Mus musculus: one gene and its partner. The protein of the gene in region 1 purifies or fractionates together with the protein of each later gene. This does not show direct contact. Links are inferred from orthologs where the notes say so. Each region holds a gene or a part of one and is shown in the gene's direction. Other genes may lie near its edges.

The links. The genes of interacting proteins can lie anywhere in the genome.
Region 2: the proteins of Fbxw7 (region 1) and Med13l purify together in Homo sapiens (affinity purification with mass spectrometry; 4 studies listed by BioGRID, with this or other methods). This does not show direct contact. The link is inferred for Mus musculus from reciprocal best matches to the Homo sapiens genes FBXW7 and MED13L.

Annotation. Positions count from the first base shown.
Region 1 is NC_000069.6:84,964,692-84,970,661, forward strand, and holds part of Fbxw7 (F-box/WD repeat-containing protein 7), read left to right. Parts: intron 1-556; coding exon 557-691; intron 692-2,748; coding exon 2,749-2,872; intron 2,873-4,473; coding exon 4,474-4,610; intron 4,611-5,970. UniProt on the Homo sapiens protein: Substrate recognition component of a SCF (SKP1-CUL1-F-box protein) E3 ubiquitin-protein ligase complex which mediates the ubiquitination and subsequent proteasomal degradation of target proteins.
Region 2 is NC_000071.6:118,558,485-118,565,166, forward strand, and holds the start of Med13l (mediator of RNA polymerase II transcription subunit 13-like), read left to right. Parts: upstream 1-2,234; 5' UTR 2,235-2,301; coding exon 2,302-2,373; intron 2,374-2,377; exon of another isoform or gene 2,378-3,327; intron 3,328-6,682. UniProt on the Homo sapiens protein: Component of the Mediator complex, a coactivator involved in the regulated transcription of nearly all RNA polymerase II-dependent genes.

The DNA of each region.
Region 1 (5,970 bases):
ATATTCAAATTTTGCAGTATTAACTCAGCTAATATTTTCTATTGCTTGCCATTTTTTAAAGTAAAGCATTTTTAAAGTGTGTAGAAGATACTTGTCAGATATGCAGAATAACCAACTATTAATTTTTTTATGTTGCAAATCTCTTAGCTCTTAGATGAAAACCTTATTCAAGCCATAAAATTTTATGGCTGTCCACTAAAGAGAATATATAGAGAAAAATGACCTATCAAAATTCCCTATTTATTCAGTAACCCACATGGATGTTTCTAGGACAAGATTTTCGTGTCTCCCAATGTCTTGGTGTTAGAAGAATGCATAACTCTCATAATTAAAAATAAATGCAGACTTTGGTTTTTTTGTTTTTGTGTTGGTTTGTTTGTTTGCCAGTCATGATTTTTAATGCTTTTTGGGAAAGTTACTGAGTAAACTTGCTGAAACTAAAACCTGCAGTCGCTTCAGTGGCTTCTGTCCATGGTTCCACTGCTCAAACATGGCCATGCAGGGGCTTGCGGGTCTTTTGTATGAATTTGTAATGTGTCCAATTCCTCTTTGGTAGAGCTGGAGCGGACCAGAGAAGTTGCTGGCTTTAGATGAGCTCATTGACAGCTGTGAACCAACACAAGTGAAGCATATGATGCAAGTGATAGAGCCCCAGTTCCAGCGAGACTTCATCTCCTTGCTTCCTAAAGAGGTAAGGGGCTGTCAACCGCATCCCGCTGGGTGCTGTCCAGTGGTTATGGGTGCATAACCACAGCCTGTAAGCAGTGTCCTGCTCATTATGGTTGACACTTGGACAAACTGCTATAGCCTTTTGGTACAGTTGTCACATAAAGTGCATTCATACCATGGTACTACTTCCTTCCACTTGGATAAAGTAAGGCTTTGTGTGAGAGTCACTGAGTTTCTTCAAGAATTTTTTCCCTAGGTTATCTAAAGGCTGGCTTTAGTTATTTGGTTATTTTTTTAGTTATTTAGTTGTGTTTATTATTTATAGTGGATGTTTTCAAAATTCTGGGTTCATTAAGCAGCAACATTATTTTTGTTTTTATTTTGTTAATTATCTAATGCCCCTTCAAATCAGAAATTTTATAATTGTTGTATTTCTCTGGTTATTACATTATACAATTTTTTTAACATATAGAATTTTACCTATATTCCTTTTTGGCATTTCTACTAATCATCATCCATCAGAGAGAGAAAGAGAGGAGAGAGAGATGACATAAAAATTGGATTCTTACAGCTCTTAATCATATAGCCATGTGTGGCTTATAGTTTAAATATAATGCACGTATTGACATTAGACTTAATAGCTTAATTTTTATCAAAAGAAAGGAATAATGTGATATTAAATAGTATCCTCATAGCCTATATTTTTTAAAATTACTATATACATGTAATAAATATCAGTTAAATAGCACAAAAAACTAACACATCATTCATACAATGATCCTGAACCCTCAAATTTGAACAGAAAGAGTTTTGCTTGCTCTTTTCTTAGATAATTACTCTAAATTCCTAGTGGTGTTAAATATAGTCCTAGATATAATCTGGCATTAGATTTGAGTAAAATCAGTGGAGTGAAGTACAACTCTGGGGAAAAGCAAAATTGATATTCCCCCCCCCCCCCGGTATCTTTTCCCTTTTGGAGTACTTTTTAAAAATGACATTGTCCCAGAAGAAAAGTGTTTATTCTTGTGCCCTTTTTCTACAGCAGAACTCTTTGAATAAACTTAGAAAAGTAACATGAGATCTCCTTTGCTTCCATCGGGGCGTAAAATAATAGGGGACATTTTTTGTAAGTGAAGTAGATATTCATCTTGATTATTTTACATGGCCGATACCCTCCTCTAGAATATGCATATGTGTAGTATGTTCATGTGTTCAAGTGGGTGTACATATGTACATGCAGATGTGGTCTACCACTGAATCGAGAGCTTACCCATTCAGCTAGAGTGGCAGCTGTCCAGTGAGCAGTGACTGTAGCTAGAATTGCCATGCCTAGCCTTTTACAAGATGGGATCCAAGCCCTTATCTTCATCATTACACATGAAATGTTACTGACTGAGTCATCACCAAGCTCCAGAATTTGAAAGTGTTTTAGAATTTAAGAAGTAAGCACAGGTGATTAACAAAAGGCAAAGCCCCAAAAGATTCTCTTGCCTTCGGTGTTCTTTCAAAGACTTCCTGAGGAAAAAAGATGTTCGGAAGGAGAGAGCCCTGGCTTAGCATATCAGCTATGGTGTTTTGTTTCCTGCTACTGGGGTGTTCTTCACTTGGGAAGTGCTTTATGTCTATGTGGAAGAATAATGGTATAGGCTTAACCCTATAGGGAATTATGTTATTTAAAACTTTATTACCATTTATTACACAAAATGTACTTGTATATATATATATTTTTGATAATTGGTGTGAACAATTTCAAGTCTCTTTATCAACATTTATTTAGGTTATCTAAGTGCTTGAGCACTAGGCTCACACAAGAAACCTGTGATAAGTGGCATTGCTCTCACCTTGTAAGTAAATACCAATAAAATCACAGGTCACCCAGAATAAAGCCTCAGATTCCTAATATGAGATTAGTGAGCATTTTCTTTGCTCTTAAAATCCTGCTTTTCTTGATTTGTTCAGCCACTGAAATGCAGTAGTCCTAGCAAGATGCTCAGCCTGGGTAGAGTAACCTTTTTTTCTGTGATTTTTTTTTTTTTTTTTTGAAGTGTGAGTATGCCTTCCCTATTTCCTTTTCCATAGTTGGCACTCTATGTGCTTTCATTCCTGGAACCCAAAGACCTGCTGCAAGCGGCTCAGACTTGTCGATACTGGAGAATTTTGGCTGAGGATAACCTTCTCTGGAGAGAGAAATGTAAAGAAGAGGGTAAGTTCAGAATCACACACAGATGTGTTTCTACTCTGGAAACAAGTTAACAGAATAACTTGGCTGTGAGTGAGAGTAGATGGCTGGCTCAGGTGCCTGCCAGAATGCGTCTGCGTCTGTTCACTTCCTTGATCCCAACAGGAAAGGAGGCCACCTGATTTAAAGGAAGCCACAAATCTGCAGTTAAATACCCACAGAATTGAGTATTGTATATACTCCTCGAATAAACACTTACTGTGCACCTCCTGTGAGCTGAACATTTGTAAATGCTGGGGACATGGCACTGCTTCATCCTAGTCTCCCTGTTGTGGACCTTCTATTATTAAGTATAGTTTAGTTTGGCTTCAAAGGGAGAATCTTCTGTTTTGTAAACAGGTATCTAGAAAAGTAATCATTTAGAAAAAAATAGCTGTTTCTGAGGGGCAAAATGCTTGAGGGGGGAATGGTAATGCTCTGTTCTATAGATCAGGCCCCTTGGCAGCCGTGTGACCAGGTAGAGAGCACTGACGAGTGAGGCGGAGGAGGGAAGACTCCAGGGTAGGATCTCAGGTGCTTCTTGCTGAGCCTGGTTCTACAGTCAACCTCTGGCTGTTCCTAGATTAACTGATAAGATCCTCTTCTTAAGTTGTGCGGGTTTTTTGTTTTGTTTTATGTAAACCACGGTGAATCAACTCTGCCTTACCTTCTTTCTCAGAATCTTTTTTCCCCTTGAGACAGGGTGTCTCTATACAGACCAGGCTGGCCTTGAACTCATGAAGATCCACTTTCCTCTGCCTCCTGAATTAAAAGGATATGGAATTAAAAGGGTATGCCACATACCTAGCTTAAGAGTTCTTTTTAAATGTCCTCTTAAAAAACTATATTTCGTAAAAATGATTCTGAACAGCTTGGTTTATATAGCAAGTTCCAGGGCAGTCCAGACTGTGATAATAACCTGAGGTAATGGGGTTCATTGTACTCATAGCACTTAGGAGGCAGAGACAGGATTGCTGAAAGCTAGAGGCCATCTTGGTCTCCATAGTGAGTTCAAGCCATTTTATTGAGTAGGATGCAGTGATATTCTCCCCATTCTTCCATTCCTGTTGCCTACATGCTTTATAAGTTTACTGTTGTAGGAAACTATGATAAGTGAAATTATACAACATTTGTCCTTTTGTGATTGCCTTATTCACTGAGCAAAATGTCACAGCGTGTATCCCCGTGTCCTCTGTTAAGGCGAGCAGCATTTCAGGGTGCACTGCTGCATTTGGTGTTCATCTATGGAAAGGCACGGTGACTTGTATGGACAGCCGTTCACATCTCTGCTTTTCATCCTTTTGCATATACATGCAGAAGTGAAAGTCCTGCATCCTGCACTGCGTTTGTGTATTTAGGAGTCACTGTGCTAATTTCCACAGCAGTGCACATACAGTCTCATCTTTGCGTGTTCATACCAGCACCTCCCACAGTCACTGTGAGAGAGAATGGAGATAGAACAAATGGAGGTTCAGTGCTGCACAGCCCAGTATCTGGGCCAAGCAGAGAAAACAAGAACTTTATAAGATGTGTAATTTTTATTAGTGGTGAAAAGAATTATTCTCTTGAACTCTTTGATACTTTAGGGATTGATGAACCGTTGCACATCAAGAGAAGAAAAATAATAAAACCAGGTTTCATACACAGCCCATGGAAGAGTGCGTATATCAGACAGCACAGAATTGATACAAACTGGAGACGAGGAGAACTCAAATCTCCTAAGGTAACAGACTCTTGACATACTAACAGAAACCTTTCTTCAGGAACAATGCCTGCTCTCTTCATGTGTTGGCTGCAGTGTAACTCAGTGCCTATCTTTTATGGAAAGGAAGCAGCTCTATTTCAAAATTAACTCAGAGTGTTAAGATCAGTGTTCTTTTATTTCTCATTTCTTTAATCTGATAATTTTATTGTAATCAAGGATGAGTTGATTCAGGCATGGTACCACATGCTTGTAGTCCCTGTATTCAAGTGGCCAAGGCAGGAGGATTACTATGAGTTAAAGCCAACCTGAGCAATATACTGAGCTCTAGGCCAACGTGAGCTATAGTATGAAGCCTTGTCTCAAAAATGTTTCTCCCCAAAAAGGTGAGTTGAGACAGTGTGTGATACTGTGCTACCATGATTCTCACTATGAGTTTGCAGCCTTCTAGCCTCACAGGCCAAATGGATTTTTTTTTGTGTTTGTTTGTTTTTAATGATTTGAAGCAGAAGTCTCATTTTCTGTCTTAGAATATTATTTCAGATGTGTAAATGGTAGAAATACTAAATACATACTTTAATAACAAAAAGTGAGCCAGCTATGGGAGGCATAATTTTATATGCCAGCATGCCCTGGGATAAGTTTTAGGTTAAAAACAAAAAACCAAAAAAACAAAAAACCATTATTTGCTATTACTCTGTTTCTTGGTGCTTTATTTTTCTTCTCTGGAGTGCTAAAAGTTGGATCTAAAACCCACTCTTCTCCTCCTTTTCCTCTTCCACCTCTTTCTCTTCCTTTTCTTCTCCTTTACTACTGAGCTGAGGTTGGCTCAGTTATCCAGGCTGCCCTGGAGCTCACCTTGGTATCCCAGGCAGGCCTTAACCCTGGGACCCTCTGTTTTGTCCTCCTTGAGAACAACAGTCATCAGGCCTGGTTTTCTTCTGTTTTTGTCAACAGTATTTACTAAAATAAAGTAACTTTTCTTTTGACTTAAACAGATTAGGCATTTGTGTTAGAACCATCTTTATGAAGTTTTGGCATAGTAAAATGTTAATAGTGGGCAAAGGAATATGGAAATATTTAATGTTTAATTTATCATCCAGGAAAAAGATGTTGTGTCTTATATAAAGTTCATTCTAAAAATAGATTATAGATTACTATTCTGACGCATGGCTCCTTCTTGTTTTCACTGTGTGTGTGTGTGATGTATGCACATGTGTGTGCACGCACACACACAGGTCAGAGGAGGTAGTCAGTTTTCCTGTTCTCATTCTCTGTCTGACTTACTTTTTGAGATAGTCTCTCTCACTGATCCTGGAGCTAGGCTAGCAATTGTAAGCCCCAGCAACACGCCCCTCAGTGTCAGGGTTATTGTGTGACC
Region 2 (6,682 bases), on another chromosome or scaffold:
CCTAGCAATATATAAAGTTGAGCATTTTTTAAAAAATAATTTTATTTATTTTATTAGAAATGCTAGCATTCCTAATCTGTAAACTGTTTTTCTTGTTTTTTAAAAGATTTATTATTATATATATATAAATAAGCACACGATAGCTGTCTTCAGACACACCAGAAGAGAGAAAGTCAGATCTCATTACGAGTGGTTGTGAGCCACCAAGTGGTTGCTGGGATTTGAACTCAGGACCTTGGGAAGAGCAGTCAGTGCTCTTAACTGCTGAGCCAAATCTCCAGCCCTGTAAACTGTTTCTTATTTGTTTGGTTTTGCTTCTGTGCAGCATCCCACCCCCCTTTTCCTTCCCCTTATGACTTGCTTAGACTGTGACCAGCTCATAGCCTTTTGCCTACGCGTGTGATGAGTATGCGTGGATTCTGGGTGTGATGGACCATCTGACTGCTCAGGTCTCAGTAATACCACATGTGTGCATAAAGTGTCGGGCAACTCCCCCTTGTAACCCTTCCCCCAATAGCATCTTAACGGAAATGTGTGACCTTGGCTTGAGGTCAGCAGGTCAGCAATTAGGATTTGCTTTGGACAGATTAGAAAATGAGGCATAGTTAAACTTTGCTGGGCAGGGTCACAGCTAGGTGTAGCAGAGCCAGCTCCTGGCATCCTCTCCAGAGCCTCCTGAATTCAGATAGTTCAGGAGTTGAGCCACTCAGTAACTGGGACCTTGGGGATGCTATTGCACCCCGATTCTGAGGACTCTGTGAAATGACCTATGTGTTCGGGCCACCTTCATTCCAGGGTTTAAGGTTTGTGGTAGTCTCAAAACTCCATTCATATGTCAGATTTGTGCCCGCTTTATTTTGCTTCCACCGCTCTTTCCAGCGTTTTACTCTTCCTTTGTTTCTTGGAGACAGTGTGTAGACCAGGCTGGCCTGGAACTCATAGAGATACGCCTGCCTAATTCTACCTCTTTCCAAGTCAACTTTCTCCCTTTCTCTATTTCCACGACGAAAAGTCCTGGAAGGCAGTCTCCGGCATCAGCACTTCTCCCAGTCCCATTACTCTCTGAAGAAGGGATGCTGGTTATTATTGACCGCTTGGAGCTGGAGGAAGGGCCTGCTCCCCTCCACATAGCCCAGTGTGAATGTGGCACCTAAGAGCGCTGGGATCATCTATGTAAGGAATGCCTGCGTGCACGCACAGAGTGGGCGCCAAGGGCTCCAGCAGCCGGGATGCTTTAGGAGCTCAGCGCTCGGGAGGCAGTGAGTCCCGAGCCCTGGCTTCCCGATGCCTGGGTTCGAATCCCGCGACCCCGGGCAAGCACCTCGCTCGCTGCCTTTGTGTCTCTTTGAGTCCTACTCCTCCGCCCGGTGCGCTGCGGCAGGCAGGCCGGCGGGCGGTCGCGCGCGAGGTTTCGAGGAGGAGACACTCCTCGGCTCGCTCGGCCAGGCCGGGCCGGCCCACGCCGCTCCTCGGGGACCCGAGATGCTCCCCCAGGGGGGCTCGGAGGCCGCTCCGGGGAAGCCGCGGCCCTCTTCGGCCCGCGCCCGACGCGCGCCCGCGCCCAGGGCGGGGCGTCCACGCAGCCCCGGCGTCCCACGGCCGCCCGCACCTCTTTCTCTTCCCTCCCTGGCTCCGTCACCCCGCTCCGAGAGGGCCGCGCTCGCTCGGCTCAGCAGCGCCTCCCGCGAGCCACCACCGCCGCCGCCGCCGCCGCCGCCGCGGCCCCTCCCCCGCCCCCCGCGCGGCCGGCGCCCGTCACGTGACGCGCCGCAGCCAATGGCGGGCCGAGCCGCGGTCGGCGGCCGCCATTGCTGTCAGAGCGAGCGAGCCCGGGGAGGGAGGAGAAGCGCGGCCGACTGGGGAGGAGGGGGGGGGTGGGGAGGAAGAGGAAGGAGGGGACGGCGCTCGGCTGCCGGGGTCGCCCGCTGGCTTCGTCCGCACCCCCCCCTTCGCGGGCTCGCGCAGCGGCGGCGGCGGCGGCGGCGGCTCGGGGCGGCTGCGGGGCTCGCGTGCCTCCCGCGCCGGCGCGGCCGAGGGCGAGTCGCCCGCCGGCTTGGAGATAAACAAGGCGGCCGACGAGGCGGCGAGGCGGAGGCGGAGGCGGCGGCCCTGCGCGACAGAGGCGGGCGGCGTTGCCGGCCCGCGCCCCCCGCCGCCGCCGTCGTCGCCGTCGTCGCCACCGCCGCCCTCGGGCCTCCCGCGCGGGCCTCGCGCCCCTGGTGCCCGGGAGCCGCCGCCGCCGCCGCCCGGCCCGGCCCGCTCCGACATGCCCCGCTCTGGCGGCCGGGCTCGCGGAGGACCATGACCGCCGCGGCGAACTGGGTAGCGAACGGGGCGAGCCTGGAGGATTGTCACTCCAACCTCTTCTCGCTGGTGAGTGGCGGGGCGGGGGGGAGCCCGGGTTGGGGGGCGCGACCTCCCCGCCGCGCAACTTTCTCCTCCCGGAGCCCTGGCGGCGTCGGCGAGCGCGGCGCCCGGCGTGGACGTGCGTGGGGAAGTCGGGGCGCTGCGGACGCCGGGGCGCGCTCGGAGCGCCCACCTCCGTGGCAATCACACCCCCTCCCCTCCCCTTCCCCCCTTATTTTCTTTTTTTTTCTTTTTTCTCCTCCTTCCCCGAAATGTGGAAGGCTTTTCTGCCTTGTGCAGCCGCCGGCGCGGGTGAGCTGCAGGCTCGTCCTCTCTCTCTCTCTCTCTCCCGATCGGATCGGCTGCTCTCCCACTCGCCGGCGTCTGCCTTCTGATTTTTTCTTTCTCTCTTCCTCTGTTTCTCCGTTTTTTTCCCTTTTTTTTCCTTTTAATATTTCCACAATGACACCTGCGATTTCGCCCGAAAACAGTTGATGGAAGGCGATGGTGTCAGGGAAAAGGACTCTGGCAGCCGGAGCTCGCTCGCGCCGTTGTAAACACGGACAGCCGCCCGCCTCTCGGGGTTTACTACGCCGGAGAGCGGGAGAGCCATTGCTCGGAGCCCACGGAAGGTGGAGGAAGCTGCTGCTCCTCGCTCTCCTCCGCTGCCTTTAAAAACTGTTTTCTCTGCTTTAACAAGGAACACACACACACACACACACACACACACACGAGCAACAAGCTGGGCGGTTTGATAACATCGCTTTTATCTGCCTTCGCCTCTCCTCTCTCCCGCTCTCGCCTCTGATAATTGACAACTTTTGCTTTGGAAGTGCATCGCCTGCCTTAATCTCGAACCATTTAGGGTGTCAATTGTTCTTCTGGAAGCCTGGCACCGGGCGACGGCGGCTCGATTCGTCGAAATTAAAAATGTATAGAGCTCCAGCAACTCTTTCCTGGCGGTGGCAGTGACATTTGGTGGTAAATGCCATCTTTGCTTTTTATTGGGTCGTATTACCTAGCTCTGAAAACATTCGCGTTGTTAAACCCGGCGCTTACGCTGATAATGGGAGTGCATGGTCTTTAAATACGCGCTTTGTGCCTGAGTTACTGTGTGTGTGTAGCTATGTGCCCGGGAGAGTACGAATTTGTTTAAATATTGAGCAAAGATTTGTAAACAGATGTAAGGCAATTATGTTTCAAGCGTAGAATATAATTGGAAAATTGGTTGAACGGCCTATTTAATTTAGCCTTAAAAACTCAACTTATTTTAGTTGTGTGCCCAATTTTGGTGGGGAGGGTGCTGGGGGGGAGGGTGCTGACTTTTGGAGAGCATGCATTTATTGCAAATTATTTTCTGGAACCCCTGCTGCAGATAGAAGCTTTATTTCCTTTTAGTCCTTGTTTACACTGGATAAATAATTTAGTGTTCAAATTGTAATTAGTTACATTTAATTATGGGTGGCATAGATGCTTTTTCTCCCCTTGGAGACTAGTGGAGAAAGAGGAATTGTTGCCAACTTTGGAAGTGTCATTCTGTTTTCATGCTGATGAAGAAATCAAGCATGATTTTGGCCTACAAAGACACAGGAGTGACACAGTCCCCCTGCTCCCACTCTTGTAAGCAGGCTGATTCCTGATCACCCCGAATTTTATCCTGAGGCTGTTTCGAGGTTCAGTTAGAAGTTGGGGGTCCTTCCTTTTACCCCTGTGGTAATTTACCGTTGATCTTTTGATGTGAGGATAAAACTACTTCTGTCTCTTTTTTCACCCCCCCCTTCCCTTGTCTGTCATTTATTATTAGGTTCAGGGACCTTCATAGATCAGCAAATGTATTGACTAGGCGGTATTTACCCCCCCCCCCAACCAATTTGGTGACTGGGTGACCGCAATGACACTTTTATAGGTAATTAAAATAACCAAGTCAGCTGGTGTTAGCTGGGGAGAGCTCCCACTTGCTGTGCATCAGGCTGAGAGCAGTGCTGCCTGTGTGCATGTGGCTAATGTATACACAGTGTGTTGTGCAGGCAAATGCATGCCTGCTGACTGCACAGCTCCACTCTCAGCTTCAGGGATCTATGGGGTAGAGATGAGATGGTCCGGATTCTTTCTTTAATTTCTGGACTTTGATTTTGACTGCATTCTGGGTATTTCTCCGCTTAAACCAAAAAGTTGACTTGAATATAAAGTACAATTAACTTTTTTGGGTAACTCCATTGAAATGCAGAAATGGCTTAGATTAGTTTTAAAATGTAACGTATTTCCTGATACCTCGAGGTAGGTAAATGCTGTCTAGTTGTTTAAGAAATTTATCTTTATTTTATATGCATCGCTGTTTTGCCTGCTTGTGTGAGGGTGCTGGGTTCTTTGGGATTGGAATTAGAGACCATTGTGAGCTGCCACGAAGGTGCTGGGAATTGAACCCAGATTCTCTGGAGGATCAGTCAGTACTCTTAACCCCTGAGCCATCTCTCCAGCCCTAAACTTTCTTAGAAAACCAAGCCAAATAAAAGAGACCCACGGAAAACCAAAACCAAGAATAAACTGCCAACAGTCCTTTATTCGGATTCTTAATTGAGAATTTTTTTCTGAAGAGCATACACACAGCAGCAACCTATCTTACTTATTGAGAATACATTGCGTAAAGAACATTGTATAGAATAGTTGATTTCAAAGGAGAGGCATCCTTTCAAAATCTTTTTTTTTTTTTTTTTTGTCAGAACTCTAGGTACCTAGCATTTTGTATTTTTGAAAAGTTTGGCCTGCAGTTTTGTTTCTGAGTGCAGAATAGTCACTTCTGGAACACTACCCACCCACATGCTCCTGTTAGCTTGGATGGAGGTGTAAGCTGGAGCCGAGCCCCGAGGGAACGCGACCCACTACTTCCTGAGATCCTGAGGCCATCGCCAGGGCTTAGCAAGGCTGACTGAGCAATCAGGCCTCTTACGATTCTTGTTCCTAGGCTTTGACTGAGTTTGTTTTCTGATACTGCCTGGAGTCCTGTTTCCTACTCTTGCTTTTCTGTCTCCACCCCCACCCTAACCTGTGAAAGGCCATTGGATGGCTGTGATATGGGCCCTTGTGCTGTTTCTCTCTTCCTCCTGTGAGATTTGTAGCCACTGCAGGAAATCCATGCCTGGCTGGGCCTCTGTGACACAAAACTTTTCTCATGGTGGCCATCAAATTAAGTGTGCTAAATCTTCATTTTTGGAAAATGTAACCGTGTACCTTGTGGCACTGAACTCACCCTTAAGGGAAGACACATCCTAGTTTCCAGATGCCCAGTGTATCTTTGTGTGTTTCTTCTGAGATAATGTGGAGAAAGTGACTTGGTGCCCTTTAGGCTAGACTTAAGTATGCTGGGTACCGGGACAGGAGGGGACACTTCTAAGTTTTAGATTTTTGCTCCACATTCATGTCTGTTTTGCTTAAAGTCTCCCTGGCTGTAGGTAGCTGAGCAATGCTGTAAATCCTCACTGAGTTAAAACCCATGTACACCCTTTAGTACTTAAGGTCCTACTGAGGACCATTTATTTTGTATCTGAAGCTTTTAGGGTAATTTGTTGCAGACAGAATTTCCTTTTGTCTTATGGGAGAAAAGGAAGGTGGTTGTAACTGTTGAAAACTTGAGCTGATGTGAGTAGAAGCTGGTGGGGAGGCATGTGGAGTGGAAACCGGGAAGAAGGCGTGCCAAGGTTGCAGAGTGCCCAAATACTGCACAAGGTCTTTTTCTTCCCAGTTTGCAGTTTTAGTATTTAAAAGAAGTGTACATTTAAAGCGTCTTTTTCATGATGGTTCATTTTCTTTAATGAAAATATTTATAATATGCCAATGTGTTTCCTGTTTAGCATTTGTTGTTAGTAGCACATGGCCTTATAGTATTTATATTTTTTTAATGGCAATAATTGCTACCCGGTAATGGTTGCCATATTAACCTCCAATTGCTAGTAAATATTTTTAAGTACATAATAGACAGCAATTTAAGGCATAGTGTAGCAGTTTACTGGACCGTTTTAAAGAGCCATTTGTACATGTGATGAGTTCATAATTTAAGGAGAAATAATGTACCTGAGATCCATATGTGCCAGAGGCCTTGCCCTGCTCACTGGGAAGCAGGCTGGACCCATTCATTGCTTTCTCTTTGTGTTCAGGACAGGAAGTGTTTGTTGAGTGTGAGCAGGTACTCTGGTGGTTTTGTCTTGGATGCGTTAGATGATTTATATTGAAAAAAAGTCTCTCAAGGTATTTCTTTAAATACTGTTAGCTCATAGTTGTGGCTTATGCTAATTAGTATGGAAAATTGATCTTTTTTGTTCACTAGCTAATTTAGCCTAGT